Oreochromis niloticus: one gene and its partner. The protein of the gene in region 2 purifies or fractionates together with the protein of the main gene of each other region. This does not show direct contact. Links are inferred from orthologs where the notes say so. Each region holds a gene or a part of one and is shown on either strand. Other genes may lie near its edges.

Evidence for each region.
Region 1: the proteins of klhl22 (region 2) and emc7b purify together in Homo sapiens (co-immunoprecipitation; 3 studies listed by BioGRID and IntAct, counting the BioPlex papers as one, with this or other methods). This does not show direct contact. The link is inferred for Oreochromis niloticus from reciprocal best matches to the Homo sapiens genes KLHL22 and EMC7.

The regions. Positions count from the first base shown.
Region 1 is NC_031980.2:16,342,899-16,359,309, reverse strand, and holds emc7b (endoplasmic reticulum membrane protein complex subunit 7), read right to left. Parts: upstream 8,752-16,411; coding exon 8,519-8,751; intron 6,419-8,518; coding exon 6,299-6,418; intron 6,178-6,298; coding exon 6,039-6,177; intron 5,456-6,038; coding exon 5,375-5,455; intron 5,101-5,374; coding exon 4,951-5,100; 3' UTR 4,188-4,950; downstream 1-4,187. Other genes in the region: katnbl1 (KATNB1-like protein 1), read right to left, coding at 9,964-9,996, 10,590-10,683, 11,420-11,524, 11,800-11,889, 12,607-12,657, 12,754-12,869, 12,994-13,258, 14,009-14,046 and 1 more. UniProt on the Homo sapiens protein: Part of the endoplasmic reticulum membrane protein complex (EMC) that enables the energy-independent insertion into endoplasmic reticulum membranes of newly synthesized membrane proteins.
Region 2 is NC_031977.2:10,199,770-10,216,473, forward strand, and holds the start of klhl22 (kelch-like protein 22), read right to left. Parts: upstream 7,631-16,704; 5' UTR 7,340-7,630; intron 7,119-7,339; 5' UTR 7,067-7,118; coding exon 6,819-7,066; intron 4,892-6,818; coding exon 4,726-4,891; intron 4,642-4,725; coding exon 4,318-4,641; intron 4,219-4,317; coding exon 3,809-4,218; intron 2,477-3,808; coding exon 2,284-2,476; intron 2,150-2,283; coding exon 1,916-2,149; intron 1,587-1,915; coding exon 1,245-1,586; 3' UTR 1-1,244. UniProt on the Homo sapiens protein: Substrate-specific adapter of a BCR (BTB-CUL3-RBX1) E3 ubiquitin ligase complex required for chromosome alignment and localization of PLK1 at kinetochores.

The DNA of each region.
Region 1 (16,411 bases), on a different chromosome or scaffold from region 2:
TTGTGAGGTTAATTAATGTAAAAAAGACACAATAAAAAAAGTTATAGATTAATTTGACTGATAGAATTATTGCTATTTTTTTAATAGATATCGTGATAATAGCAATATTGTGAATCTTTGTTTTGGTTTTATTTGGTCACGATAATCATGCAAAAACGTGACATCATGACAGCCCTAGTATGAAGTCTGATAAACCGCCTTGTGCTACATCATATCACTTGAGTCAGTGTCCGTTTTAGATGTCTAAGGGGTGTTGAGTTTAGAAACAAGTTATCTTATCAAACTTCAAGTTATCTTATCTAACTTCTGACAAAACTGTTTTTGGTTAAGTTGTATGGTGGCTTAATACAGGCACTAGATTTTTTTGTTTTGTTTTTGTTACAAGAATAGGAAAGTCAGCAATGACATATATCTCTCTTTCAACTCCTGTTTTTAATAGTTAATAACAAGTTACTGGAGCACACATTTAAATATTTGTAATATACTTACACACCCATATCCTTCCTCTCCATATGGGCAATACTGCTGTCCCTTTGCAACTGAGATGTAAATGCACTCAGACACTAAAATATATGGTACATAACATATATTATGACTAAACAGTCAACACTTTTATTGCAAGAAAAAAGTGACATTTACATAAGGCAAAAAAAAAAAAGCAGAAGAAACAAAAAGTACAGAAATAAATAAATCTGGTGTAAAGGTTGTTATGGCTTTATGTAACGGGTGTCAGACACTTTGTCTTTTATCAAGTCACTTCTTTCTGACCTACATCAGAAAGGTGAGGTGCTTTTATGCGTGTTTATTAATCCCTTTGTCCAGTCTGATTTTGTTGAAGTGTATAAACTGCTTGCTCAACTCATACTAACTTTACTTTCCATGGTTATTAAAAAGAATTAAGAAACATTGTTAACTAGAAAGATGTTCGTAACACAGACATTCTCAAAACCTGCTCTCGGTACGCTGCACTGATATCTCTTGTACACAATTTTTTTTAATTTGTCTTGTTCTCTGTTTTCAGTACCTGTGGACAGGCAGGAAATCATTAATGAATTGCAAAAAATTGCAAAATGTGTCTTTTTTTTCTGACAATGTAAGAATGAAAAAAAAAATTTGGTCAATATTTATTTTTTATATGTATTTTCATCCTTTGAGACCATTAAACACTATAAAAGTCTGATGTCTGTAGTTCCCCCAATATCGAGTTGCTCATTTAACTGCGAAACTTGCGTTTACTTTACATTTTTAAGGAATTTCTAAAAAGTGATGCCAGGTATTCAGTTACACTGTTAAACACCATACTGAAAATAATTTTAGGCTAAGGACTTTTAAATTGTTCACAGCCTCATTTGAAGACATTATAATTCCAAACCCAGCTATATTGCCCTTTATCATCTGTTTACATAGCAGCTTCTAGTACTGGACTTCTGACCTGTTTTCCATTTGCATCTATATTGTGATCCCCTGTGACCTGCTTATTACATGTTTATATAGTAAACAGAGAGTACAGCGCTTAGTTCTGCCAACCTCACCAGGATTACAATCATTTTCAATATAGCTAATTTACAAGATAATAAATAAGCTGTGTTTATAATTTACACATGAACTGTAACTTCTGCAAGGGGACACCTGCAAAATAAATAAAATAAAATTCAACTGGTTCACTGGTTAAGAAACCAAATAAAACCAAATAAAAATTAAAAATCAAACATGATAATAAAATAGTATTCTTTCCAAACCAGTGGCCCAAGTAACAACCACCACCCCACCTTCAATGGCAAGCCTGTCTCAAGCCTGATTACAGGGGTTCTAACAATCTTTTTTAGTGAAATATCCTGGAGTCAAAATCTCTGATCCTATCCTTTCAACCTCATATAATTCATAATTCTCCTTTATTCTGTTACTCTGTATATAAATGACATAGCATAAGCTCACATATTTCAAAACAAAGCTGTAACAGGAATAACATATTTCACAGATTGTGTCAGATTTTACACTTCACAAATGGTGAATGTAAATTGTTTACAGTGTATTATTGTTCAGTGAATGTCTTTTCCTGTTTTCTATCTTGTTGATATTTGATCATGTGTATAAGGGCTAATCGGTACATTTATGTGCATTTACAGTTGCATTAGTTTAACACTAGTAATATGAGATTAAGATTGTTATGGACACCTCTTGTCTTCTTTTTGCTGTAAAAAGATGAGTGATGTTGTAAATTATTTCACTTTTTTTGTCTATTATGATGTAATGTTAAATGTATCTTTCTGATCTGAACTCTGTGCCTTTTGTTCTGCTCATAGTGGCAAAAATTCCTTTGTGAAGGAGCTTGTGCTTACTGTCTGTCTGCACTTCTGTAAGTGTCTTTGTGTAATAATATACACAGTAAAATACAAACTTCAAGGCAAACATTTAATGACCAACACACAAGTTGAAGACTATCTCATTTGTCAATAATTCTTCTTTGAGAGGTGAGGCAAATCGTTACCGTCCTCCAATGGTTGATTGACTACCCGAATGTGCCATGTACCAACGACATGACTCTAAACAAATCCCAGACGTCACCGAAGATTTTACTGGTCCCAAGAGTCCAGGTCAGCACAGTTGTTCTGCATTGAAAGTTTCTTTGCTCTAATGCAACACCACATGAAAAGAACAAAGCCATTAATTAACTGATCTCATTAACAGTAATTGGCGTTTTCAAAGTCTGATAAAGCTCAGTTGACCTGTGGCGTCACTGAAACACTAAAAACTATTTCACTGGAGAACTCACCTTTGTGTTTATGGAAGCTTGTTTCCACCACTGGAAAAAAACACCACAACATTTTTTGCCCACCACAAGTCAAAATATTAGATCATTGTTTAAAGATTTTGAGTTCGGTATCTCAGGATTTCAAAATAAATAAGTCAGAATTCAGAAAAAAATATTAAACTTTAGTTAAAATTTTGAGATAACCCCAAATTTTAAATTATGGGTGGCATTTTTTTTCCTTTCCCCTCCAGTGGCAGAAATAGGCTTGTAGATGTGCTGAATGAACTCTGGTACTGTAGTTTCTCTTTAATCTCAAATACACAATGCAACCATGAAACCCTAAAACACCAAAATGCAGCTGAAAATAGTCTTCAGTTAATATTTCCACACATTTGGTAAAAATGAGTTTTTAGCAGTTTAGCTCTAGCTTTTAAATAAAACATTTAGAGTCAAAATAAGCACTAAATTGCTTTGGACTAAGAGCCACAGTCATGATCGAAACTTTGAAAAGTATTAGGGAAAACAACAAGCGTTCTTTTATTTTGATGCTTTCACTTAACTCATTTAGCATGAGTAATCTACAGGACACTGCCATGCGCATTCTTCACACAGCAACTCATTCTTAACCTTGGAAAAAGGCAATTTGATGAAAACTACTCATTTTAAATTGTGTCACACCATCACCATTTACCTGTGGACGGGGCATGACTGGAAAAAGATGCAACTGCATGCAAGTTGACCTAATTCACGACATGTTTTGTCTACTCTGTGCTTGAGAGATAACTTTTAGATTATATTTATATTCACTACTTCTCACCAAAACACATTCTGTGCATCATAAACATCTGATCTGACTTTAAAGCATTTTTCGAGCCCTGTGGTTATTATTGACAGTGATTGTGCCCAGCGGGCCCTCGTGCATAACACTAAGACTCAAAAGCTTAAGCAGTTAATTGGAATTCAACTCAGCCAGCAAACTTGTTTTTTTTTTTGCTTGTATTGACCCACATGCTTCTCCTACCTTGATGGGCCAGAATGTTTTCCCCTGAAAAAGGGAAGACAAGGTGATTCATCTTTTTGCGTTACCACTGCCAAGCACTGATCGGTGAAACAGCGGGAATATACAGTAAATATAATCTTGTATAGATGCATATGATGCAAACAAAACAAAAACCCACTCTTTCTTACTTCTGGGTAACTTTGAAGCCAAAATCAAAACCATAGCAACAACGGAGCTTTTGTGCCAAAAGGACTATCTCCTCAACAAATAGATAAATGCTGATGATGAACATATATGGCTCAAAGTTCAGGAGAAAGCCAGTGACTCAACCTTGAGCTGAGCTTATTTTGTCAGTCTCTATATTTAATAACATTACTCATTATTGTTTCACTTTAAAACACGTCCTGTCAGCCTGTGCTAACACATTCTACAATAATGATTTTAACTATGGACTTTAATGTCTATTTTATTACAAAGTAAAACCAGTTACACTTTGTAGAGCTTTTAAAAAGCAACCATACATTTCTCTCTTTGTACTTCCAGTGATTATCATTTTAACTTTTACACCTCAGGCACATAATGTACAGCGTGTGAATTCTAACCATACAGTTCACCACAATAATTCATAAAATGAGAAAGTCACGTGTTCACTCAAACAAATGAATGGTGTGAAATAAAAACACAGCTGTCATATACCATGGCAATTTATTTATCTAGGTTTTTAAATAAGAATTTATCTGTCTTAAAATTCAATTTCTCTTCATTCACAGTCGTATTACTGAAGTTATTTAAACAAGAAAATCTCTGAATTGTGTATATATGCTCTCTTTCAGGTAGTGGAAGTAGCAGCAGTGGAAAATATACAATGGAGGTTTTAGCACAGAAAAGACTGATGAGTAGTAGGGTCACCTGTAGAAAGTATCGCGCAAATTAAGAATAACAGCTTTCGCAACAAATGTTATCAGTGCAATATGGGGGGAAAAAAAAAAAAAACTAAGAAAAAAACCTTTTTGCTCAGTTTGTAATAGCATATTAGAAATCCAGATGTGCTCAAAACATCTAATATTAACGAAATCTGTACAATAAACCCAGAGAGAGGGAGAGAGAGAGAAAAAAAATGACACTTTAAAACCTTGCTTCCATGATATAAATCAAGCTCTTTTCGTTTTAGGCAGATTTTTAGGAGGCATGTAGAGTACTACCTCCTCTTGGCAGCTGGCCTGGTGCCTTTGCTGCTGCTGCCTGCCTTGCTGGAGCCTTTGGAGCCAGAGAAGAGCTTGGTCATGAGCTCAGAGACATCAGGAAGCTCAGGGTTGGGGTTCAGCATGTTCATGGACTGTTCCATTTCCTGTAAAGAAAGGGAGGCAGAGAATGAACAGCTGTTTATGGAGAGAGAAAGGCTGCGTACAGACTCAATGTTCTCTCTGATGTTAAAAATGTATCACAAGCAGTCATATCTGTCACAGTTAACACTTTAGCACAATAAGCACTTCAAAAGGAGACAAGGATAGAGTTAGGATTTTAAACATCACAAAGTCTGTTCTTTCAGAGAAAGTGCTATCCTTAATAAAGCGACCAGAACAGCTTCCATTTAGCTCAGAGAGACAGCACAATGAACATACCTTTCTCATCTCTGGGTCATTGGTGTTGACCACTTTGGGTAGCAAAACAATGATAAGCAGGGGCAGAACCATCATCATAACCTGCAGGAGCAACAAGGACATGAAATGACATGTAACAAATTCATTCAAGAATTCCTCTTTGACAACTTGTTTTTACAGTTCCTTTTTTCAGCACAGATGCCCAACATTCTCTTTTTGAGTTTGTGGGCCATCCAATCAGGAAAAAGAAGGCTAGCATAAGGAAAATGCAACCTTAAAAAGGAAAGGAGCTAAAAAAAAAAAAAAAAAGCTTGTGTCAGACAGTGGATGGCCTTCACTACCCAAGATAAATCAGGTTTATTTTCAACTCTGATTGATGGAAAGCTGCTCAAGAGTTCATGAGTATAAAAATATGCAGTAGAAATGAGCAAAAAAGCACACTTTAAGGAATGGAAATATTACTTTATGCTCATGAAACTTCTGTTCATTATCGTCAGTATTGTGTACCAGCTTATCAAAATTCATTAACATCAGTAGTTCTCTAAATGGGGCTACAGCCAATGGACTCTACAAATGGTAGAAAGCATATATTTAATCAGAGTATTAGGATAATGGTGGGATCCTAGGAAATGTTTCTTTTGTGACATACACATGCAATTCCCATTTATTCAATGTATTTTCTTACCATTGGGTTCATAAGGAAGTCTGTCCAGCCCCAGGTTTCTCGCTTCATAAAGTAGCTGTGAGGTCCACTACTCCTGATCTGAAGAGGGTACGGCTGGCGAATTACCTCTGAAGTTTTGATGTAATTCACAAGTCGTGCTCTGTGAAATCACACATTGTTTCAGTGGGTCAGAGTTGCCATAGGCCAACCACTAATTTTCAAAGTGTGCTCACACACCATGAACAATGCATGTTTTGGGTTTTTCACTCTAGTGGCCATACCTCATTTTACCCTTGGATGTGATATCAACACGGACAGGGTCAAATCTATAGGTGGGAGTAACAACTTCAACAACATAAGACCCAGAGGGGACATCGTTCACAGCAAAACTCCCATCGGTTCTGTAACAAAAACATAAAGCAAATTTTTCAAGACAGCAGCTGCTTATAATTTAAAAAAGTACACCTATATTAGTTCAACCTAAAAATATTAATCCTGAAATAAATGGAGAATGAACTAAATAGCAAAGTATTGTCAAACTATCTTACTAAAGCAGAAATACAAATGGTTAAGACAAATAAATAAACAAATGTGGCAAAAATGTTAAAGGTCTTGCCAGTCAATAAGTCCATAAAAATAATTTTCAATTAAATATCTGAAAGCGGGACATCCATAAGGTCACCTAATTAGGTTTATAAGTATCTAAGAATTCAAGTATTATGCTTATTAACTTGAAATATGAAACACACTGCATTATGGTAGAGATATAAAAAGAAAGAAAGAAATACTAAAACATGTTAAAATTTCTGGACCTTGTAAAATATTAAACTGCACAAGGACTACATGAAGAATTGAATAAGGGTTAGGGTCCCTGTTACTGAGAAATATAGAGAAAATGTTTTCTGGTAGGGAACCAGGGCTATAATGTGAAGATAAAGTTTTATCTTTAAACAGTATGGACAACAGTGAAAGCTTTTTGTGCTTTTATCTGTGCCGTACAACAATGTTTAGTGGCTCATGTGGTATATAAATGTCAATTCAAAATTGCATTTATGTGTATGAAGATATTTACATGTATGTATATATGTAAATATACTTGCATGTGTGAGAGTATATACATAAATAGTTTACAAAAGCTGGCATAAAGATTATGGAGTATGTCTGTTAGTATACATATAAATGCATAGTTATATATAACTACATGTATGTGTGCCATCAGCAAGTTAATTAATGCTTCTTTTCAAGTGTAAATGATGAGTTTCTTATATACAATCTATTAATTATACATTGTTTTATTTTTTGTCTGTGTTTACCTACTACATAATGTAAATGTTTTATTTTTTGTCTGTGTTTACCTACTACATAATGTAAATGTTTTATTTTTTGTTTAATTTTTCAAATAAACTAAGCTATGAAAAAGTGCATTGTTACATTCCGTGGTGCAAATAACCTATTAAAAATGAAAATATAGTGATAACTCTATGAATAATCAGAGACTTATTTTTTTAAATACGTTTTTGTTATAGTTGTATAGTTATAAGTGACTACTTCTCTATCTTTAATGTATGTGAAAAACAAAACAAAACAGTAAACCAAATTTGTCTTCATCAAAATCATTCCTTTGGCCACAATCTATGTACATAATTTGATATACTAATAGAGCCAGTAGGGGTGGAACTAACAGTGAGACACATAAAACAACAACAGTACTAATGCTACTACTTCTTCTTCTAATAATAATGCATTTGTAGAAACAAGAACCTGAGAATGTCTTTTTAAGTTTGCTCCATCCAGTATCCTTGAATTTATACTTTTATCACAGATAAATTTATGTAGTAGCCATCATTTATATTCGTATCTTAGGTTAAAAAAACTACTACTGCACTAGTAATACAATAATTAAAACTACTGCCAGGACAATAGAGTAAACCCTTGTGAGCTAAGAAGAACATGAATGATTATTTTATTACGGATGATATGGTGACATGGTTAAAGATAGCAGGGTTAAATAACATGATATATTACTTTTATTTGTACATTACGACACACATGACAAACAAATACTATGGAACATGCTTAATAATATGTTATGCCTTCAACACATGTTTGTGCAGCAAACCAGTGCTAGTACTGGTGTTTTCTCATAAACATATGCTAGCTGGGGAAATATAATAGATAATATATACACAAGTCTCTTGTGGACGTTTTGTGTTGTGGTTACCGCTGTAGCAGGACCAAAAAGGCCTCATGTTGAAATGAAACGCTAATTGACTGGCACTCGGACAAGAGTTACAAAAGGAAATGTTAAGCTGTACATGATCTACAACATTTGGTACCTGCCATCTGCCTGCGGCAGATGCAGTCGTTATTGGGTTTGACTTCGAGTTTGACCCTAACCACCAGCTAGCAATGGCTAGGTGCTAATGCTACGTAGCATTAGCACATATTGTAGCACGTACCATGCTAGCTAGTTATCCGGTATAACTATGGATATTTCTTACCTCAAAAATCCCACATGTTCTTCACCATCTACCAGCACTCTAGCCGTGGAGACCCAGTCTTGTGTTTTCACTCCGGGAACTATCGCTCTTCCCTCGATTTTGAACCGATCTCCGTTAGTCTGCGTCGACATAGCTGCGCCAGGCCCCGCTTCCATTTCAGTAAAACACCACCCTACTACGAGCACAGACTGGACGAAAGCCAGTAGCAGCGGTATTCTTTCCCTGTGCCACATAGTGCCTCGTCTTTAATAAACTAAAATCGTTTTTCACCGTTTCTGCATCAACATGTAGTCGAGAGCTGTTTAGCGAAGGAGCGGAAGCCTCGCTGCATCAGCTGTCTCTGTGGAAAATGACGTCACTTCAAAAAACTTTATTGTACAAACCAGAAACGCCACTCGCTCGTTTTTTGCACAAAGATTCCCTTTTATTCTTAAAACTCAAAATAAAACTCATTGAAATTTTAAATTGAACTAGAAAGCAGAGTAAGTATTTTCATTGGTTTCCCACGCCAATACATTTTATAATTTTGAAAAAGCCCAAAACTAGTATTATAAAATAATTCCTTTTTCCGTTTAGCAATGCAGTTTTGAAAACCAAGCCATTTTTAATAAAGACTCTTACAAAAGAAAAAAAAAAGAACACGAGGTCAAATTAACGCTGCAGGAGCATGTTTAAAAACCTGTTTAGCCACTTCAATTTAGTGAGCAAGATAATTTTACCTTTATTGTTACTTTGGCATGAATTATTCCGAAACGGTATTTTCAAAATTTTAATGAGCTTTAGCCAGTTAAAAAAAACAAAAAACTGTGGGATTATTTCTGCTGCAGTTTAACAGGACATCATCCCAGTACCATTTGATAATCTGGAGACAAAAAACAAACAAAAACTTTGCATTTTTAATTTATTTAAAAGATGATTAAAAGAATCACTTGTTTTTACATTTTACATTACACAGTCAAATGTCAAAGGAAGAAGCAGAACGAAAAAAAAACAAGAAAAACAAGCTCTAATAACTTAAGACTGTTGCAGATTCAAGTTCCTTCATCCGGAGAACTCAAGATGCAAAACATCAACAACATCCACAAGTGCATCTGCATTCCATGAAAGAGAGTGGTGTAGTGAGAGACAAAGACCTTGGCACTTCATAGAGCGAAATTACACCCAGTCTCATGGAGGTCCACTAAACATGCCCCTCAAAAAAAGACAATCCACTTCAATGTGAAGCAGTCATTTGCTGTCCAGGAAGGCTCTCTTGGCCCTCCCTTCAGAGTTTCCAGCTCAAACTTGAGGGAAGTGTTTGAATTGTCAAGTTCAGTCCCAGGTAAGAGGTTTGAGTTTGAAGTAGCAAAAGCAACTGGTCCATTTCTCTTGCACCATTATCAGTCTGAAACACAGCCATAATTGACGGTAGTGGTCACATCCCGAGAGTGCTACATTGACAACTGTCAGGGCAGCTGCAACAGATAAGCCTCGATGCCCTGCAACACAAAGCAGAGATAGCACATGAGAAGTCGTCAGAGCTAGTAAATGCACATAAACTGGATCACTCAACACTTCAAACTAAATTGATGCTAATTTGACATTTCAGCTGCTACAAACATGTAAAAATTAGTGAATGCATTTCCTTTTAAAAGATTTAATAAAACAAATCTTTTGTGGTTTTATTTTTTTTCTCATCCCACCACAAAACAGGATGTGAAGACTGAAAAAAGATCAACCACAAAAGCTTATGGTGGATCTGTCTTTTCTTTTTAGTATGGGAGTGGTTGCTGAATCCACCCAAGATCAACAGAGGGTGAAAGAACAGCAGGAGCACCTGTGGAGCCTGACAACAGTTCTGCAACAGAAATATCAGTGTGACAAAACACTCATTTCTAAAAATGTTAATGCAGCTCTATTATATCATTATCATTTACTTTTAACAAGAATTCAAATGGTTTGCTTTAGTATAAATGATCCATACTACAACAGTAGCGGTCTTCACTCTGACCTATATCCTATATCACGGTGAAAAAAAAAAAAAAAAAAAAAAATCCCTTATGAGGGATGGAACAGTTGTAATGTTTCTCACCTTTGCCAGCTCTCCCGTAGTTCCTGGAACCAAACATAATCGGGTTCCTTCCTTCCACAAGTCCTTTAGCCGCTGCTTCATGACTTCCATGTTCCTACAATAAACACACAAACATTACTGATGGTGATTACTGACAATGATAAATAACCTTAATTAGCTATAGTATTATTCATTCATCACATCACTGTAATTATTTTTATTTCTCACATTCTGTATATTCGCATTATACGTATATTGGTATTATATTCATGTCCTGTGCATATTGTCTATCTGGTTTCTGTTTAGAGGTTAACTGCATTTGGTGCCTTGAACTGCAACTTGTAAAATGACAATAAAGTTTAATCTAATCTAATCTGATTTAATTACTGATCCAATACATGGAAAGTGCAAAAGAGATACAGTCTTGGCACAGTCTTGGTGGAAATGTTTAAGGATAACATCATCTTTTTGTTTTTGAACTGCCTATGATCCAACATAAGGGCGTACCTGCCTGGATGACGAATGTTTAAAAAATGAAAGCAAGCAACAGGATGTTTCCTGTGACAACACGGCCAACTAGCATGCCTGAGTTCAGCAGATTATATTCATAAGAACAACACAAAAGTGAATAACTAAAAACATTTACTGGATTTCAAATATGCATCTTAAAAATGAAATATCTGTTTGTTTTATCCCCATGCATTATTTCTTTTCTTTAAATTGATCCAACTTTCCAAGATTTATTTTGAATTACTCACCAGACAGTTAAACTAGAAAAATACTAAGATTTTAAACATCTACATTTAAACTCTGGAGGTTGCATTAGGTTTATTAAAGCATACAGGGCTCACCTGTCTTCTGCACAACTGTCCTGCAGTCTTTTTTCAGTTCTAGAAAGTTCTGGCCACCATTTCCTGATGACGGATTGAACCCAGTGTAAACCCACAGTTATGTGTCTGTCAGAAAAAGAACAGTTAGTTGAATTCAAAATGTTATTACATATGAGATTTACAAGTCAAAAGAATTTCTCGACTCCTTCAAGAGGCTTTAGCTGCGCTCTCCTCTGTTCATTATCTATTTATCAGACAAGCTTAAACTTCCTAGAGGAGCACACAATCATCTTTAGGTTTATAAACAACAAATCTAACTGCTTTAAACTCAGCACACCTTCATATAATGATCAAGAAGAAAAAAAAAAAGATAGCTATTATTAGATGGAATTGCAACTTACTCTTCATATTTACTGGTAAGGATTGTTTTGACTTGGGGCATGAGGTCAACACAGCAGCCAAGTGACAAACATGGTGCTTCTGTTTGAAGGCTGATGAGAGTGGAGATAAAACAAGTTCAAATGAGGTGATCGTCAGCAATCAGGCATGAAGAAGAAAAATAAGAAAAATGGCCAACATGTCCACTGCAGAACAACAGAAAAATCTAACAAGATGTCAGAGCTGCAGTGATGTTTGGTTTTAAGTAGTTTGATTTATATCCCAGTAAATCATCGACCCTATTTATTCTATTTTTCAACTTAAAAGTAGGAAAAAAGTGGATATTTTATATTCCAATAAGCTATGTAACTTAAACGTTTCTGGTTAATCTGGTTTGCAGGTTAAGATTGTTTTGATGGCCTAAATTTATATTAACATCAGAAAACATCTTTTCAAAACGTGGTGTTACCAGCTGACAGTAAGATAGCAGTGTAGCCAATCTTTACCATAGCCCTGTTAGTAACTAAATCACATCCAAAAAACGAACCACTATAAACCGATTTGCAGTTCACCTGAACAATTTTGAAACATTACAGTTTTCACTTTGCCAGTATGCTTCAACAGCTCCATATAGGTATCATGCTATGCATGCTTGTATACTGCGATTTCAGGATTGTTACTAAAACATGACTATTTCCTGCTTTAAAAATTGTACAATCTTTGTATATTAACAGCTGACTGGATGAATGTGCAGCACGGTCACTGGAGGCAAAGCTGAAACACTCAAAAGCTAAAATGTATATAACCAAACAAAAAATAACATTACTTACTTGTTTGTTAAGACAGGTAAGCAGTCAAGCAGCACACCTGTGTCTTGAATTCTGGGAAACCACAAACATGTGAGGTGAAGATGACAAATTGTGTGTAATCACAGAATAAACACAACCATCAACCAACAGTAGCCACAAGTGTTTTACCTTATTAGGTAGGCCACTAATTCACTAGCACTTTTTCGCCATAGTGTTAGGGCTACTTTAAGTCTTAGACTTCTTCCAAAAAGAACCTGGGTCATAGCTTCATGGTCCTTTGAGAGCTATGTATAGACAAACAATGAAAAAATTGGAACTCAGTGTTTTCAGTGTTGCAGTTTTCAATCAACAAGCCTTCATATTTCATACGAAATAAAAACAATGAGGTGCTCGAGCTCTGTTTCTCACCTCAGTAAAATCACTGTACTTGGAGCTGGCCCCCGCCATCTTGGAGGCCTCTGCAGAGTTCACCGGAAATCCACAGGCCCGGACATCATCGGAGCAGGTCAGCTCATTTTCCTTGTTGGCCATGCCGGGGTCACATAAACGGCCTACATCTGATGATCTGCGGTGCAGCTTTACGCCCACCTCCGCCAATGCACAACTCTTTCTTTTGCAAGATGTCGCCCGCTTCACTTTTCCTGGACTGTGTACTCTGTAATGCACCTGAAATCTGCCAAATGGAGAAGTTGAGATTGGCCAGATGCAAAGCGGTCACAGGTTAAAAAAAAACATAAATACAAATTAAAGCCACCATGATAATGGTTAATGGTAAATGAAAGGTGCTTTAATGGTTCAGTGACTGGTTGTACATCCACACTAATATGTTTTTTGTGTTGACATTTGTTAATTTTAAGACCCCTAAACATCCAGACTTTGTTTCTGCCCCTCCAGTCAACATCATTTCCCAGACACCTATGTTTGCTTCTTTGTGGGCTCTTATCAGTCATAATTATAAAGCCAAAATATCACAGTCACTCTCACATACGTTCTATGATTTCGTGCTTTTCATGTGTATCTTTTCCATGGCGTCATACAGTGACAGCTCCCAGTAGCCCTCTAATATGTTGCTGTATTTGCTTTGCGACAGCTCCCTATTATCATTGATCCAAGCAAACAAAAAAAAAAAAAAAAAAAAAAATCTCTGGTCTTACTATTTGCTTTTGCTTTTCCTTCTTCAATATATTTTCAAAAAACAACTAACCTACTGCTTCGTAATTACACCAGCACACAGACCCAGTGTGGATGAGTGGTTAAGGCAATGTGTTTACAGAGGGTTTAGTACAAAAGGAGATTTTACTTTCATATTAAAACAGCTTAAAAACAAAAACATATTAGTGCGGATGCAAGGATGATCTGTGGGACACAGGCAGTGAGTGATCATAATTTGATGAACCCCCTCAGATGTGGATCAGAGACTCACCTGTCTTTATCTAATTCTTCCTTATTAATAATATCCACCTAAAACAAAAGGATAGGGGATGAGGCCACTCCTGCTACAATGCCACTGAACTGTACTTCACAGTCACCAGGATTTAAAAGACACATGGGCAGCTGTTTACACAATTATTCATGGTATTTCCCATTATATCCTTATACCTGCTTCATATTCTTCTCAGCAGAACTAGGCACGCTGGGTCGCAGAAAGCCATTGGAGTTTTTGTGGTTGACCTTCAGGACTTCCCGTTGCCAAACATGCTTACCAGCTGCCATAATAAGGAACACTGCTGGAGAAACAAATTGGAAAATAATTGAGAGGTATAAGTCGAGGTTAAGGAGCCAAATGCCAGGACTATGTTGTGGCACGACTATGAATAGGCCAGCTAAATGTCAAGAGCATACGTTCCCAGATGAAGCAGTTTGACTCAAATTAGCTCAGTGAAACAAGATAAACTAAACCAAAATGCTCAATTTTAGTTGCAAAGGCGTTAGCTCCCGTTAGCTCATATGGCTGAAAGTCGCAAAAACATTGTATGCTGTAAAAGTTAGGGCTGTAAGTTTCCTTCTTTGCAAGTGTGAAAATAAACGATGACAAAAGAGGTGTAAAGTTGCATTTCGTGACGCCTCCCATTAAAATAATGTCCACAATCTCACTGTAATGTCTAGGTTAGCTTTAACTGTTAGCATTTAGCTCAACTCACAAGACAACACGGGAGACGTAAAGAGCAACAAGCTGGGCCGCTAGTGCGAGCTAGCTAGCTGGTTAGCCTTGTGAACGTATGCCTTCGTTAGAGGTAAAGTTGTCACTTTTATCATGTACGCCCCCGAGTTGAATACCAACCGATTCATTTTGTGAGGTGTTACGATCGCTCCTCAGATGTGTAGAATCCAAAACGTGAAAAACTAGTTAAACACTAAAGCAACTCCCTCTGTGCACGATCGCAAGCGTTTCACAGTTTTACCATTCAAATGAATACACCGCCGGTGCGTGAGGATTCTGGGATTGATTTTGGCAACAAAAAAAAAAAAAGCTGCAGTTCTAGCGACGACTGCTGGACATTACAACACAACTTTGTGCTGTGGCGCCACCTGGTGTCAAATAGCGTGTAATGCAAGAAGGCAGTCTTGCGGAAGCTGAAAACAACTGTGAAGTAGTAGCACTTCTTTTTAAATTATTCTCCATCCTTAATAAGGATAAATTTAGAAAAAAAATCAATGTAAAATAAAAAAAGAGCTTATAATTAGTATACTGTTGTTGGGTTTATGTTACATTTTAACCATCACAATGGAAAGGGAAAAAACCCCAGATAAATGTGGCATTTTTCCATCTTTATTCAAACCTAAAATCTAAAAATACTTAACTTGACATCCCCCGACCTGTGTAGAAAGGCTGGAACCACTCATGTCATTAAGAAAAATATATTTTCTTGAAAAACTGGAAAAGTTTCACACTTTGCAAAACTTATTTAATTAGATTTTACCTGTATTTACCTGTGTAGCATGTACATTTATTAAAGCGTCCAGGCTCCCACAAACAAATGTGAATAAACAAAAGCACTGCTTTAGTTTAGTAAAAGTAAATGCATACATACTGTAAAGACTATAATAGTCTCTAAGACTGTAATTTTCCTTAAAAGTATGCCAAAAGTGTAACTTCCAACATGGCAGCCAGGATGATAGCTCCAAAGCCCAGTTGAAATAACTCAGTGGGTACCTCCTCATTGTATGGACCACATGTGCACTATATTTAGTGAAAGGTGGATTATAACCATTCTACTATATGTTTAAGTCATGGTTCTACCTGCGAACCAAAGCCTAACTTTATTTATACAGTACACATTTTCTTTATGAACTAAGTTTTATTTGCAACTATGTACTCAATCATTTTCCACTTTATTGATTAAAAACAGATGATTTTTCTGAGGTGTTTTGATGGCGATGCTTAGAAGTGTATTTCTAGAACATCCTGACCTTGCTTTCTGTCATTTATGAGAAATGCAGTTGAACCTGTTATCCATTTTTACATAGTTGCAAATTGTTGCAAATTGTTGCAACTATGCAACAATTTGTTTTTCTGCAGGTGTCTACAGTATACATTGTGCAAGGCAAGGCAAAGTAAAAAAAGAAAAGTGGCTATAAAAACAGGAAGAAGAGAGGAGAGAAGGATAAGTATACCACTTTGGATTATATCACTGTTGTTACTGACTGACTTTGCTGATGTATTTCTGATTGCTGAGCAGTTTGTCTTTGTGTTTTGTTAAAGGATTGGAACACTATCACCACCTATATGTTGAAAATATGCATTCATACTGTAGTGCATTTGTTATATATCTAAAAGCTGGCCCACTGGAAATTGTGATTGAATTCTATAACTGAAAGTGCTTGT
Region 2 (16,704 bases):
AAATAAAGTAATGGTTAATTTTCACATTTCATTTACAAATAAATGGCAACTTCAATCTGTAGACCCCCCCCCCCATCCAGGTACAGACATAAATAAATTAAATTATTATTTGGAATTACTCATTATTTATGATATCAGAGGCACGATAGCTAAGGCTCGTCTCTGTTCAGACATACGGGGATCACATATAAACTCAGGCTAAGAGTGAATGAAAGAAAGAAAACAAGGCACGACGTTTGCACAACGTAACGATCATTCAGAGGTTTGGAGAGATGATAGCTCCACTGAGCAGCTGTCTGGGGGCTGGAGACAAAAACTCACTTCTTGTATGTTTATTGTTGAGAACTGACAATGCAGAGAACCAGCTGAGGAATAATGAGAGCTGAGTCTGTGTGACCCCTGCCATTCTTTTCACAGATAAAACACGTGCTTGGTTTTGGGGTTTTTTTGCAAAACCGCTTTTATAGTATTTTTTTTTTTTTTTTTTTGAAACAGGAACTGTTATTACTACAGAATACAACTTCAGTGTGTGGCATTGCAGAAAATAGAAATAAGGAAGAAGTCACTTCTCTAATCTCCAAGTGGCTTTGTGACCCGTTCAGCTTCAAGTTGTCAGACCAGAAGAGCGCACTCTGGTCTAGGATATGCCTGGTCATAGTTTTTACTCTCTTGTTTTGGTAGTTGTGGATTTCATTGGAGATTCATCGTCGGGTTTTGAGTTTCTCCAGCAGTCTCGCCACAGACTTGTCCTTGCTAGCATTGACCAACGTGTCCCTTTTATGTTTATTTAGCCACACAGTAATACTGCTCCCAAAGTAATAACTGGGTGCCCCACAGTCTTAAAGGAAAAACCCACGTACGTGTCTTTACTCCAAAGTACCATGTTATTGCATAGCTACTAATCTCGAAAGCGTTCTTTGCTCTCTGTGATAAGCGTCGCAGAAACACTGGTGGTTTTAAGGAAATAATGACGAGCGATCAGTAACAAACAGCAGCGTGAACATTTGTTCAGAGAAGAGATTCCCGGGCGGGGCAAGAGTACCTAAGGTCAGATCAGAGAAATAAGAAAAAGGTCCTGAATGACACCTTTGGTTCAGAGGCACTCCGAGTTGTCAACATGCATGCGACACCCCAAAAAAACTAAATACATCCGAAACTCAACATGCTGAGTTAATTAAAAAAAAGACAGAAAGAGATCGCAAGGAGGTCCTTGATGATGATGGAATCCGATTAACACGGCAGCTTCAGTCCACACTTGAGTCATCTGAGCTGTCCATGTCCACTTCTTCCCATGAAGCCTTGGTGCGTTGCTCCCAGCTTCTGGCCTGGGCGATCACAGCGGGGGTCATGAGCGCCACACAGGCTGCCAGGCCGGAGACGTGCGCCTTAAACTCCGTGCCGTTTTTCCACTCGTCTTTGTCGGCGCTGTACACGTGAACGTATTTCATCCTGTTGCCTTTGTCGTGCGTACGCCCTCCCACGACGTAGATGTGATTGTCCAGCACAGCTATGCCGGGTTCTCCGTGGCCAGCAGGGAGGGGGGACATTAAAGACCAAGAGTTGGCTGTGGGGTTAAAGCACGCTACCTGAAATTGAAGAAAAAAAACAAAAAAAAACAACAGGGAGTAATAAATTACTCTTTATTTCATACAAGTGCTGCAGGAAGAGCATCAAAAGATGCCGCTCTGGCTCGCACAGAAATTAATTTAATTAGCTTGAGAAGTCAAAGCTTCTGGCCTGTATTAGTATGCAAAATAATGTCGGTCTCGAAAAGGCCGTGGAATATTTTCAAATTTAAATTCATGTTATAGGAGGAAAAAAAAACAGGTGAGCAGGCTAAAAAAGAGGCAATACTTTAAACTGCATGAGAAGCAGAGAGCCAACGATAAACAGCTGCGATCACTCATGACCATACCTTCAGGACATCCCTCCTGTATCCGCGCTCGTCATTACTTCCTCCGATAACGTACATGCGGCCGTTAACGGCTGCCATGCCGTGCCACGCCCGCTCCACCGGGCCCTCTGCGCACCCTGTCCAGCGATTGGCTGCTGGGTCAAAACAGCAAGTCTCTCTGAGGTACGCCACGCCTCGGCGCCCACACGTTATATAAATTTTTCCATCCACCACTGCTCCAGCATGGGCATACACCTGAAAAGGTAGACTAGTATTACACTGGATGTAGGTCTCAGCACAAATGTGAGTAAGCAGCGCCATCATGTGGACAGTAGAAGAATCATATGCACTCTTCATTTTCAATCTTTCACACCTTCAGGTTCCCATACCTCTCTCTTTAGAGGAGACACAAATTCCCATGTGTCTTTGTGTGGGTCATAACGCTCCACCGACTCCAGCTCGTGGTTGTAGTCTCGCCCTCCGATGGCATAAATATGGCCGCCCACCACACAAACACAGTGGTCGGCATGCTGCTGCTGCAGAGGCTGGATGGTGTGCCACTTGTTGTGACGGGGGTCATATCTGGAAAGAGCAGACGAGTCTCAGAACAGTGAAGAAAAAACTTATATGAAAGATGAGCTGATCTGGAAGCAAAGAGGAAACTCTATTAAAACAAAACAGAACCGTTAGTTTCTATTGATATTGTTTTAAAAATCTTTAAGGATTTAGCAGCTCTTCTGTGCAGCTCTTTTTATAAATCACACAATCCTCATCAGCAGATAGGAATTTGTCTTGTTGTTTTTTTTCCATCTTAAAGCAAAGAGCCAATCCCCCTTTACTCTAACCTGTACTCAGTTCACTCCTTCATTTGCCAATATTCATATAAAAAGGCACTGGCAACATTAGTAAATAATTTTTAGTTGTGGATGTTTGTGTGCAAAGTCTCAGCATGAAGTCAACTTTCTTCCCCCCACTTCACTTCTCCACCTCCCACCAGCCCTGTCAACTGGTGTTAAAGCTCAGAAATTACGAATATTCGGCTTTATTTATTTGAATCAAACCTGTATCCCCATTTGCATCTAATTAATGCTTGAGCCCTTTGTGGGGTTTAATGTTGGTCGCTGTTGTGGCAAACTACTACTAAAGATAATCTCCCTCACCAGAACAGCAGTGTAAGCACATCATATTAACCACTCAGACCGGTAAACAGGAAGAGCAGGTTCTCTTACTTAAAGAACATCTCTGAAAGACCAGAGTTCTTTGCTCGGGCTCACAATGATGTGAAAGCGTCACTGAAAATAACACCTGAGTATGAGGCAGTCATGCGGCAACATAATGGAGACAAGCCGAGAGCATCAAACATGGGAGGATGTCGAGCAAAAAAGGATGAAATCACAAAAGGTGTGTGAACCTGCTTTTCAAGCTAATGTGGTTTTTACGACAAGTCATTTTCTGCTTGTCCAGAAGAAAACTCCCACCCTGATATTTCTGCAGCTGGGTCAGCTGGGTCAACTTTCAAAGCTCCCAAATCACCACAGTATTGTGAATGCTGGAGGTGTGGATGTACCTAAACAGATGTTGCCAAAATATAAACTGTGAACATCATTTAAAAAACAAACAAGGAGAAAAAGTTCTTTAAGATAATGAATAACTGTAACTTGGAAAATCTACATTTCCATGACAACTAGGCAAACTCCATCTGCTGGCAAAGATCCTCAAACTCCTTCCTTCCTCTCCTTTTATCGTCTCGAGGATCAAATCATGCAAATGAAAGTCCAGAGCCTCCTGTAAGATTGCTTCCTGTATTTTTAATTTAAAAACTCAACAGTAATAAACTGATTAAGGAGATTAATCAGCTGCAGCTCTAACTTAACCACAAAAATGAACCATAAAGGGTGTATGATAGGCTCTCACCTCCAGCAGCGGGTCTCTGCATGAAATCCACTGGTGTTCATGTCCCCGCCAATAAGATAAACAAAGTTGTTGAGCACGGCGATACCCTGGTTGGACATCCGGGGAGTGTGAGCTGCAGTGAGACTCCTCCACTCCCCCCAGCTTGGGTGAAACACCTGAAACAGGTGATCGGTGTATGCGAGGGAGCTGGAACTAAACATTCCCCCGAAGCCCAGTATGCAGTGGAAAGTGGACCGCGGCTGGGTGAGAGGAGTCTGGAGGACAGGCTGCAGGAGCTCCTGTTCGTGGTAGCGCAGTGCAGCTGAAACAGAATCCTTCAGTGGACACTGCTTCAGTCTGTTGTGCAATCTCTGCAGCATGTGCTTTTCAATCAGGCAAAACCGCACTGCGTCGAGCATCTTGAGATTGTCCTTTAGGTGAGGGAGACAGAAACATAAATGCAACACTTTAATAGAGTGTAATTAAGATGTGTGCTTTATTTAGATAGATGGGTATAAATGCAGACACACCTTTGGACTGACCTGCAAATACACCTGGTCAGTTTCCACCTGCTCGGGACTGTAATGATAGTGAAGCGCTGCCTCGTACACCTCATTCTCGCTGTTCACCTGGAGCTCGTCGCTGCTCAGCGCCCTGAACACTTCATCCTGGGGCAGCTGTCGGTACACATCTGTTCGGGACAACGTCTGAATGTTGCTGAGCATGAAGCAGTGCACCTTGGCCTTCAGCTGTTGCAGTGCGTAGAGATCGGCCAGGTGATACAGCTCTAAAATGTTGTTCTCGTCCATCCAAGAGAAAAGGAAATCACAGCAGAAGCCTATGACATTCTCGAGCTGGAAAACACAAAAGCTGCACAGGTTAGCTGAAAAAATTAAAAAAAAAAACAAAATAAGAAAGAAGTAGGAACAACAACCTACTTGTACAAGTGTGGCAGCTATCAGGACTTCCTGCACGCACTCTGGGTCTAAGTCGATCTCTGACGTGTAGATGTAGTCAAGTATTTTCTTCATGGCCATGTAGGACACTCCATGAATTGCAATCTCCTTTTGCTGTGTTTCCCGGAGGCCTCCTGCAAACATCCCCCTAGTGGAGAAGGGTAATAAAGTATTATGCTGGGTCATCCTGGTCGCCCAGTAATGATAAGACTCACACCCTATCAAAAGGGAGAGACGTAGCAACTCAAAGAACGTTGAATTCAAATGTATGGGAGAAAAACCAAAAATTGTGCCGGCAGAGGGAGAAAAAGCCTTATTTTAGGATAAGCCAGCAAATTGTTTTTAATATAACTGATTATTCTATATCCGCAGTTTTTAGGTCATGGTTACCAGTGAAATGAAATTTAATATGACAATGCTTAATGGAAAATCATTATCTGTAAGGGGGTTAGAGGGCTACCTGTCAAGAGCAGAGCCTGAGAGTTTACTGACTCGATGCATTACCCTGAAAATATTCTGCAGTCCTGCACTGACTACAAACAAGCATTCAGGACAAAAATGTTGCATTGACTCTTGGCTTATGCAAACTGCAGGCTGAGGTTTTCAGTGAAACCTCTAAAATGTGTCTCTTACAGTTTTAGTTTGAGACATAATGTAGGAAAGAAATCGCAAGTAAAAGTAAAATTCAACACAGACCTAAAACAAACTGTAGCTATCTCACCTGACTGGTTTAACTAGCTGATGGAACATTTGGAGAGATTAAAACACAGATGCAACATTGGGCCTGATTGTGTTGTTAAAATCAGGCGCAATTTTGCAATCGGCTGAACCAGCTGCCCTACAACGAGTGCGAGTGAGTCAAATCATCGCTGTCTCTTCACAGCAAGAAGGTTCCTGCTTTGAACCTGCCAGCTGGCTTGGTCTGTATGTTCTCCATGTGAATTTGTGGTTTCTTCCCACAATCCAAGGACATGCATGTTAGATTAACTATTTAATCTAAACCAGCTCCAGGTGTGAATGTACGTTTAGTTGTTTATTTCTCTTTGTGGGAGTCCTGTGACGGACTGGCATCGACCCAGGGCGTACCCTGCCTGTCACCCTATGACATTTGGGACAGGCTCCAGCTCCAGAATTGGATAAGCAGTTAATAAAATGAATAGAAGGATGGGTTGACGAGTCCATCTTTTTATCTCTGCTTCACACAGACATCCGCAATGTTTCCATTGTTGTTAACATTTCCAGGCTGTTACGGAGTAACTCAAGTGAATAAGAACACTGTGAGTTATGCTCAGACACTGACTGTGATATGACGAACAGATAGCCAGGAACAAATACCAACAAGTTAGGTGCAGTAACTATGCTCACAGTAACACACTTGAAATTATTTGGTGGTGACATTTGTATTCCAGGCACAATAGCTCTATGCTGACCTTGTAAGCTAGTGGACTTAAAGGAACAAGTGACCCTGGTTTTATTACCACTAAATGTTTTCAAGTTTTAGGCTTTAGACGATAATAAAAACAAACCAGAGTTATATAACTAAGAAGGAACTCTTTAATTTTTTTAACAGTTAAATCACCTGCACAGAAGTTTTGATGTGTCTACAGTATGCAGGGAAAGACTAAACCACAGGTGCAGTTCAAGGCCTCTGAGGGCAAAGCACTGAGGTTCAAGAAATCATGTGACTGGTGCAGAACCGAAAATATGCAAACCACTAGTGATCATATGACAATGTTGCTGAGCTTGAGGATACATTTGGTTTCAACTGGACTGTGCAAGATGCCTAGGCTTTGTCTTGTGACATGAGGGTGCCACAGTAACTGGTCAGATTTGCTAGTAAACACATTAGCATATGTTGTGGTGTGTGTTATAGGAAACAACTTATTCATTCAGTAGCCTGGAGGTGGCTGACTATTTTGACGGTCAATGGCGTGCATATGAATGCTCTTGTATGAAAATTTTGGATCTCTGTGGACACAGGCACAAAAGATTGCATACAGTACTGTCGTGTGCACAGAGAGAAAACAGCAAAGTGAAGTCAAAGCAAAAGAAAAAATAACTCCTGTGAGTTTTACCTGAAATAATCACAGGAGGCTGCCAGTATTATACGGTGGGCTTGTATTTGGCGACCTTCCACAACCAGCACAACATCAAACAAGGTGCCACTGTGTCTGAGAGACAGTAGGCCGTCCAGCAGGCTGCAGAAATGCTCTGAACTTCTGTAGGACTGTCGGCGCAGGCGGCCCGATGACCCGGCGCGTCCCCCTACTGGACTCAGAGCTCCATCCTCAGCCATGAAAGCACAGCGGCGCTCGGGCTTCATCGCGTTTGTCTGCCTGATACATACATCACGCAAAGCTGTCTTCACTTTATTTCTAAAGTGGAATCAAACAGCACAGCGACATGTGGTGCAAACAGGAAGAAAAATGTAGCTAGAAGCTAAACAGGCGGTGTGGGTGACAATGCTCGCTTGCAAATGGCACTGCACAGTCAGTGTGAAATTACAGAATTATACCACATTAAATGCCCGATAAATGCCACACATGAAACCAAAGAACTGTTAGAAAGCATATAAATTACAAACAAATCTCCCTACCTTCGGCTAGCTGTCACTCCGCGGCAGAGCTGTTAGCTAATGTTACTTTCGTATAAAAGACAGCAGCCAAAACAAGCTAGAGGCTACTTAGCGCGCCAGCTAGTGCAACGCACTCTGTAACAGCAGGATGTAAAACACAACCAAAGCGACTGTACAGAGAAGAGTCCTCGTATTGTTCAAAACCAGACGGGTGTCTAGTACTACACGGCCTCAGGAACACCTTCACTTCGGCGAACTGAGTTGCACCTGATACATAAAAACAAAGTCTGTTTACTTTTTGGTATTTTGGCGTTAGATCAACTTCCATTGGTCATTGCTGTGCTATGTCCCACCCATTTCTGAAATCGAACCAATCAGAGAAATCTTTCACATTGCCGAGAAATAAAGCTAGAGCTTCAGCTTTTAAAACGGTACTAAGCAGTGTTCAGTGTGTGGACATGACCATTTTTTACGATGGGCCACATTAAGAAAAAAAACAAAACAAAACACAATTTTGAGAATAAAGCCGAAATGTCAAGATTATAGTCGAAAATCTATTTAGAGAAAAAAAGTCGAAATGTGGAGATTACAGTTGAAAAGATGGTGCAGAAAGTTGCATCTGGTCAGACATACGCACACACAAGCCTAGAAGAATGAATTGTACAAAATGAAATGGCTGGTAATGGACAGATGCGATCAATGGTCACACCTTCGTGTAACAAGAGGATGTATGTTGTATCACACGACAGCTGATGAGTTTTTTTTTCACTAACTCATCTACAACAAGGCATTTTGTAGAGGGTATACAGCAGCCGCATTTCGACTTTTTTCTCGAAATTTCGACTTTATTCTAAAAATGATCAGTAATATTATTTTTTTCTGAATGTATCTGCATTATATTAAATCTAGTCGTTTAAAAAAGAAATGAAAATGATATGAATAAAATGTTTCTTTAACACTACCTTTAAAGACAAATACATGCTGTGATATTTTCTGACACAAGATGGCGCTGCTTCCTTCTCAAACACCTTTGAAGCTTCTACCTGTCACACCTGCACCAGGGGCTTAGCATATTTACTACTTTGTCCCACTTTTGTGTTTATTTTGGTAAGGGTGTTAAAAAAAAGGCAAAAATGTTACACATCTACAGCAGCTCAGGGCAAATTGTGTACAATTTACTTTATTGTGTTTTGGGAACTCTTACATAGACTGACCAATTAAAAAGCAGTGGTTAGGCTATGGCTACACAATGCAAAAAGATAATATAAAGCTCTTCAAGCCATATCTCTTCTTTTTTTAAGCCTCCAGTATTTTTGCTCTCCTTCATCCCAGATTGATTTCCCACAGTTTTAGAAGCATGAGCTACCAGATAGATTTTCCAAGGGAGCAAGTCATGATGCTTTTTTTGTTTTTAATTTATTGTGGCTTCCATGTTTCTTGGGCTTTACAGTTTCATTCATCTTCTGCTGACATTTCACTTTGCATACATCATTCCCCGACACTCAGAGCAGTTATTTTTCCACCTGCAAAAAAAAGGAAGGAAAAATACACTGCTGGAATAATCCATCACTTGATGTATTTTTCTGTCCAATACACTGTACACAGCGGCACGGTGCATGGGGAAAATTGAGAGTGGGGCTTCTCCGAGGGGTTTCTGTCCCGGGTGTAGAAATGCCCTTTATAAACACCAAATGAATTTTTGTTTGCATATATATTTTCCATCTGGGTGAAGAAGTGCCCTCCCACAGTCCTGTCTATATTAGAGCCTGCTGCCTTTGTCTGAACAGCAAGCATACGCACCACCTATACACTACTGTATTTCTGTCAGGGTCATTCTTCAACCGCCAGACCTGAAAGACTCGAGCACTCAATTAATCAGTTAGTTGTTGTCAGATTTCCATTTATTTCTCTTGTGCCTTTAGGCTTTGCAGAAGTGATTGGACCAAATTGATTTAAAAAAAAACTGAGAGGAGACATTTTCATATTTATTTATTTATTTATTTTACAACAATCAGCTAATTGGCTATATAAGCAAATCATTTCATTAGAGGTACTCTGATCTCCAATACTGTGGTGTGACATCACTGTAACCCCCCCCCCCCCCCCCCCCCCCCCCCCCCCCACCACCACCACCACACACACACACACACAATAAAAATATGTCACCAGGCAATAAAGTTTTTACAAAACCAATATTGCCTCTTATTTGTCCTCTGACTTCAGGCTGATAATGTACGGCAACACTAAGTCTTTGTTTCATTTTAACTCCTAACATCAGGTGTCAAGCAGATCACACATATCACTTCAAAGAGGCATTTGCTTAATAATTTTCACATGTCTTGCTGATTAGATTTACATAATCACAGGTGGACACTAAGTAATAAAAGAGTTTGTGATGTGAAATATCCAAAAGCCTGCGTTTTTGTATAGTAAGTGCGGTATTACAGAAAGTACGGCATTCCATTATACCAGCACAGCAGCATCTCCTCACATCAGGAAAAAACTAAGCTAAACTGTGCAGACGACGCACATAGGAAGAGGAAGAGAAATGACAACATAATGAAAACAAAGTGGGCAGCATTTACAGAATTAACTGTGGGTGTATACCACAAACACTCAGTTATAAAGACATAAACTGGCCCAGTCCATGACCTTGAGCTTTTATTAGCAACCCTGTTACGCAAATCCCGCAACTATTATTAATCTTCATCAAAATAATCCTCGAAGAAGGCATTTTATGCTGCTGTTACTGAACATCCAGGCTGTTTTGCAGTAAGGACAGGTACAGCATGTCTTATGGACACAATGGACCCTAACAAGGAAATGCATCTCAGCAGGCTGATGGACAAAAAAGGAAAAAGTTAAAGTTAAAGTACCAGGTACGCTCCACAGCGCGGCCCCCTTATACTTTATCTGATAAGAGAAGGAGCTGGCAGACCAACAGACAATACAGCTGATTAGTTTGGGACAGTGGAGCTCCAGTGGTGCCATTCATTCTACCTGCGCCCCATCTAAAACGGTTTCCATGCCAACTAACTGCCATCTTCAGTCTGGCGCAGGAGATGTGAGTTGTAAAATGTGGCAGAAAAACATAAAAATAAAAAAAAAGTGAATATTTCTTTCACACGTGACTTGAATGCATAACAGTGGGGATCTTTAGGAATGGCTTTAAAGTTCTGATAACTGAGGGCTTATTTAGGAATCCAACATACACTTGAGTGCTCCACAGGAAAAATACATCATATAAAAACATCTCGATGGTGTTTGTAATCCATTATGACTAAATCATACGTCTAGACGCAAGATGTATTTGTTAGGAAGGTTTAGTTTGCCCTGCTTCATTGTACCACACTAACTGCAGGTGAATGAAATCCACAACAGGGCAATCTTTCCTTGTCAGCCTTGAGGGCACATCAGATTTTAGTGAGGACCTCTGGTGGCCAGTTGCCCGTACTATGAGAACCACGGCTGCAAAGTTTGTATCAGCTAAAACCTGTCGTAAGAGCACGAAGAATGCATGGCAAGACTGTAAAATTAGACGGCTTATAAAGGAGCAAGAGCGGTGCCAGGTGAATTGTGTTTTGCTCGAAAGGGTGGTTATAAACTGACAGAGGTGGCAGGTGCAATTTTCCCAGGGTTACTTGGCTGTTTGAAGCGAGCAATCAATTTTCCTCCACACCACAATCCTGCAAGACAAAACTTTTCAGTGTGTTGTTTGGTGAAGCCGGCCAACTGTCTTGGGGCGGCGGCTGCTCCGTGATGCACGGCTCTCCCAGAATGATGAACAGCGCAGGGTCATTTACACCGCCATGAGATTTGGACAGATCTGTATCAGTATTTTGTTGTCGTTATGAATCATGTGGTGAGAAATCACATTTGGACACTGTAGTGGGCTTATTTGGATACAAAGAAAAAAACAACAACACATTACTGAGGAATGATTAGAATTAACACAGAATGGGAAAATAGTGAAATTAACTGGTGACCATATTAGCAGCTGAAGTCAGCTAAAGCAGTGGCTCGACCTTCCTCGGGTTTGTCTGTCTCTGAGGTCCGAGCCAGCTCTGGAAAAGGCAGAGAGATTTCCCTGCCTCACTGGGGTAGTTAGAGAAAACTAATAATGGTGAAATATTTAAGCCTCCCAACTGTGTTTGCTACTGTGGGTGGAAGGATTTCACTCACTCTCGATAAAAAAGAAGAAAACAGGGAGTACAAGTCACTCAGTTTTCTGCACTGTTCACTCAGACATCGTAAAATGCAGGGCAGCAGCCTTATAGCTTATAGCTTCTTGCAGTGACAGACAGTGGGTGGATCATTGCTTTTTCACACATGGCCCACACTTGGCAGAAGCTGGGCATTTCCCTGTGGAGAACATTATACAAGACAGCAAGCAGAGGCTTGATAGCACCAGATAACTCAACTGGACTGTCCTCTGACACATGCTCTCAAAGGAGAAGCACAGCCTGCGTGCCATATTACAGTTTGCCTTTACTGCTAATGGAAAATCTAAGAAGTAAAAAAAAGTCTTTATGTCTCTGGTTTTGCATGTGTATGATATGATTTGATTGCATCATGCTGGACACAGCACAATCACACAATCGGTGATGCATGATGCTTTTAAACATTTCAGCCTCATACAGTAACACACGATGACTGGCATCCTCTCCGAATCTTGCAAAGAGGCGATGTAGCTGTGGCCAAGAACCCCGAGTGGGCAGATGGTCATATCTGCCATGTGTCAGCAGACTCGTATTGAACAAATGCTTGAGTGGATCAATAACAACTTGCTGTCCCCCCGCTATCATATTATGCTGCCTCTGAATTCAGTTTTCACCTCTTGCCATTGGGAGGAGGGCTATTTTGAGGTGTGACATCTACCATTTTATTTGCAGTGACAATATTAGTGTAAATTAGGAATCCTTCGCCAGCAACAAGGAACAGGGAGGCGAAAGCCAGGCGGCAAGAAAGACTGTGCATGCTGCACACAGACACGAGCTGAGCAGAATACATATGTGGCTTGAGAAAGCAGAGAGGACATGCAGAACATTTATATGAATTAGACGAAGAGGGTCAGAGGGACTAATGCCCGCTGCTAATGCAGCTGTGATTTAATAGACCCCAATCTCGGGCTCCTCACTTGTCTATTTATTTCTCTTTGCCCTCTCAGTCTATTTGTCCCCTCTGTTTTAAAATTAGGTTGCCGCATGATATGAAGAGCAATTCTATAAGTAGCTTGAATCAAAATTGAAATGAGTTTTATTTTTAGCGTTGCCTTATTTGTTACCTGGCAGACTTTCCATTATGGCTGTGGCTTGGAGACAGATAAATTAGGTGAATTAAGTAAGGGAAATACCAAAGATTAGAAGACTTATACAAATATTATATGTTACGCTACATTGGGTTTAGCTAAACTGCTCTTAGCTTGAGGCTTCACGACTGATGTGGCTAACAAATTGGTGACGTCACATGGGCTATGTGTCTTATATACAGTGAATTTTTTATATCAGCTCAATCACCAGAGGCGTTTGGCAGTGTTTAGAGATCCAGGGTAGTGATTTAGCTAATTTAGCTTTTCTTTAGGTTAGCTTAAGCTAATCTGCAACTTGGCAGAAGGTCATAACTTTATACAATCCCACTTTGTGCACTTCTGGGAAAAAACTAAGCATGCCTTAGACATGCTGCATGTCATCAAATTATTTTCACCAACTGTCAGCACTGCTATAAAAACAGACACTTTGTCAGATTGCTGGTCTGGAGCATTCAACTAATTAGCTCCAAGATCAGACCATGCAACGTTCAGAGATACACAACAGTTACATCTCACACTCTACAGGCCTCAGTCAGCATGTTAAATGTTAAAGTTCATGACAGTACAATTACTGAACAAGGATGACTTGTTGGGAAGGGTTGTCAGGAGAAAGCCTCCTCTCTCTAAAATGAGCGTGGCAGCATGGATTAGGTTTGCAAAGTTGCAACAAATCACAAGACTGCTGGAACAATGTCCTTTGGATAGACCGGAGTGCAGATGCTTGGCCATAATACACAGCGCCATGTTTGGTGAAAACCAAATATCAGCACAAACACCTCATATCAACTGTAAGCATGGTGGTGGAGGGGTGATGATTTGGGTTTGCTTTCCAGGTCTAGGACCTGGGCAGCTTGCAGTCACTGAGTCAACCATGAATTAAATCTTTGCTAAAATTAGGTCATGCAATAGGACAATGATCCCAGTCAGACCTATCTACAATAGAATGACTGAAAAAGAGAAGAATCAAGATGCTGCAATGACCCAGTCAAACCACTCAAATGCTGTGGTTGCACCTTAAGAGAGCCGTGTATACCTGAATGCCTGCAAATCTCAATGAATTGAAGCAATGATGCAAAGAAGAGTGTAAAGAAGTCATACTGCTGCTAAACATGGTTGTATAAGCTGCTGAAACGTGCACTGTCCTGAGAAAACGTTCTTCATCACATGACTGCAGGCCTACTCTGTACAGATCAGAAAATTTTATCAATCAGTTAAAAAAGGATTCTCTTAAACAAAACTATAACTGTGAAGGACAGTAACAATATATTCAAGTTTTTGTGAAAAACGTGTGGTCTCTCACCTGATCGTGAGGCATGTTTATGTTTCAATTACATTTAAAAGCTCACCTTTTTCTAACTTCTAACTCTGCATTAGCTTCCACTGACTTCCAAATGAAGCATCAGGCTGCTTCACATCTAGTTGAAATCATTTTGTCCTTTTTAAAATATTATTTTCGCTGTCCCCGAGCAGACCAAAACCAAGGTTGATGATAACAAAGCGAAACAGTGAAAACAAAGCCGTTAGCTGGAAGACACTAACAAACTCGACAGACTTGAGGGGACCGCATGCAGAGTCAGCTGATGATTACCTGTGGGCTCATCACAACACCAATGTGATCCATCTGTTACAACATAAATGTGTGACTTATTGAAATGCTGAACATTGTACTTGTCAGTGCTGAATAATGTGCACATCTTATATATGTACCGCCCACCGTGTGCTGCTCCTTTAAGTTGCATTTTAAGCGAAGAGCACCGGGGTGAGCTCCATGTCAGATGTGATCTGTGCAACTGATGAGGGTTGTTTGTCATCGCAAGCTACCTGAGGCATTGTGGCATTTGCTCATTGCTGGGGTTATTTAAAGCCTCGGGGGATTTGTAGAACTGTGTTGCTGTGATGGTGTCAAGGATCACTTCAGCTTGATTCATGTAAGAGGCTGCGATACTGCAGGGGAGATTGTGTCACAGTTCAGACAGGAATTTAAAAGCACAGCACCCAAAAAAGGCACATTCGATTCATATGTAGTTTACTGGAGGTTAGTAGACTTACAAGGCGGTGCGAACGACACAAAGGGAGCAGGCAGCGATCGGGTGTCCAACACAAACAAGCAACGACACGAAAAGCAGACAATAGAGGAGAAAATTGAATATAAATAAAGGTCATGATAGATTTTCCCTTTGTGGCTTTGAAAGCAAAGTTCATGTTTATCTAGTGTTACCATTTCATTCACATGATGAATATGTTTTTGTTTTAAAAAGTTATAATGTAGGATTGTTATATTTAAAATGTATTATTGTTGGCTATTGATTTTTAGGCCAAGGGTGTCAAACATAAGGTCCTGGGGAGTAAATGTGAAGGATACAAAATGTAAAGGAGTGCATAGACTTTAAGCTTTAAATCAGGGATGTCAAACTCATTTTATATAGTGGGCTATACAGCCCACTTTAAGTGGACCAGACTATCCTGTAATTATAAAGCAGAAAGTTTTTGTCACAGAAGATTTATTTTATGTTATTTATATTTTCTTTGACAAAAAAATCCCAGGAGTTTCTATAGTGGTGAAAACGTTGCAGAATGTGACATGATGGAATAATTGAGAGAATCTCCCACCAAACATTGGGTTGGCATCATTTTCCATTTCAATTATTGCATGCTTTGGTGTTTTTGTGCTTATAGGCCACACCTATGTAGGAGTGGAGTTTCTACTCTAGTCCAGCTATTTGGAGTTGAGTACAGGGAGTACCGGTAGTTGATTGGTAATGGTTTTAGGCCTTATCTATAAAGGAGAAAACAGGAAGGAGTTTTCGTTTTCTGTAGGGCACAGTTGCAACAGGGAAGCTGGTTTAAATTTGGAGACTCCAGTGAGAGAAGTGAATATTTTAAAGGAAAATAGTATTAATCTGGCCTGGAAGGTTTTGCTTTTAAAAAAATCAGATGACACTGAAGGGAGGACTCATTTTAATCAGGGTTCCTGTGGATTTGTTGTGATAAAAAGACTGGATTGGAAACTGTTGGTGTGCTGGGTTCAAGGAGGAAAAGCCTACTCTGGAATTGGGAGGTCACCAGTGAGAGGAAATTGCTCAAGACTTTGAGAGGAGGAGCTTGAGAGCTGAAGTCCCAGGATTTGATGTGGAAACCCACTCTAACAACACAAGGTTAACAATTCTGACTGTGCCGGCTGTGGGCCTTGGATTGCAGGCCAGAACTGCGTCTTCAGCATCTTGTGTACCCCATTTTCAGTTCATTTTCAGTTCAGTTTCATTAGAACTTATTGCTTTCTTGTATGGAGGCCATTTTTATGGCCCACTTAACAGAAAATAGGAACTTTACTGTCATTTAATTGTTTTCACTACTTTGGTGTATTATCACTGTGGGGAAGGTCTTTATAAGAAGGACAAGCTGCAAAATTTATGAAATTACAGTTAAATGTCCAAAATTCCTCCAAAGTTTCCAAAGACGTCCAGTGGGCCACATTGATGGCCTAAAACAAGGAATAAGGCGTAAGTCCAGTGGGCTTTGCCGAGCAAATTCTTGCCCCCGAGCGTCGTGTTTGACAACCCCATTTAAAGCTTTTCCTATTGTTAAATACCATTAAATTACTGTTCATACTAATTAACTAACAGATCAACAATTAAATGACAGGAAAGTTCCTGTTTTCCACTATTATAGTCCACAGTTTAAACATTTTCTGGGAACTAACAAAAACTTTACATTTCATTATTACAGGGTTTTTCCTGTAATTTTACACAAAAGGTTTATCATGTAGTTGGACTGGTATGACCCACTTAAGGTCACAGTGGGCCCCACCATTGTTTTAGGCCATCACATGATCATATGTGAGATTTGCTGTATTGTTAGGCAGTTCATATAATCATGGACCTTATCATTTAGAATTTGCGGAAAACAAAAGAAAAGTCATGTGTAAAAACTAAATACACCCATACGTTTATCACAGCATCAAATGCATAATATAAAATAACAGGGTTCCAGATTATGTGCCAGTGATAAGACCCTCCTTTGGAGAGTGACCGGTGGGAGCTGTCTTGTCCAAGTCTCTGACATCTAAGATGTGGCGTTC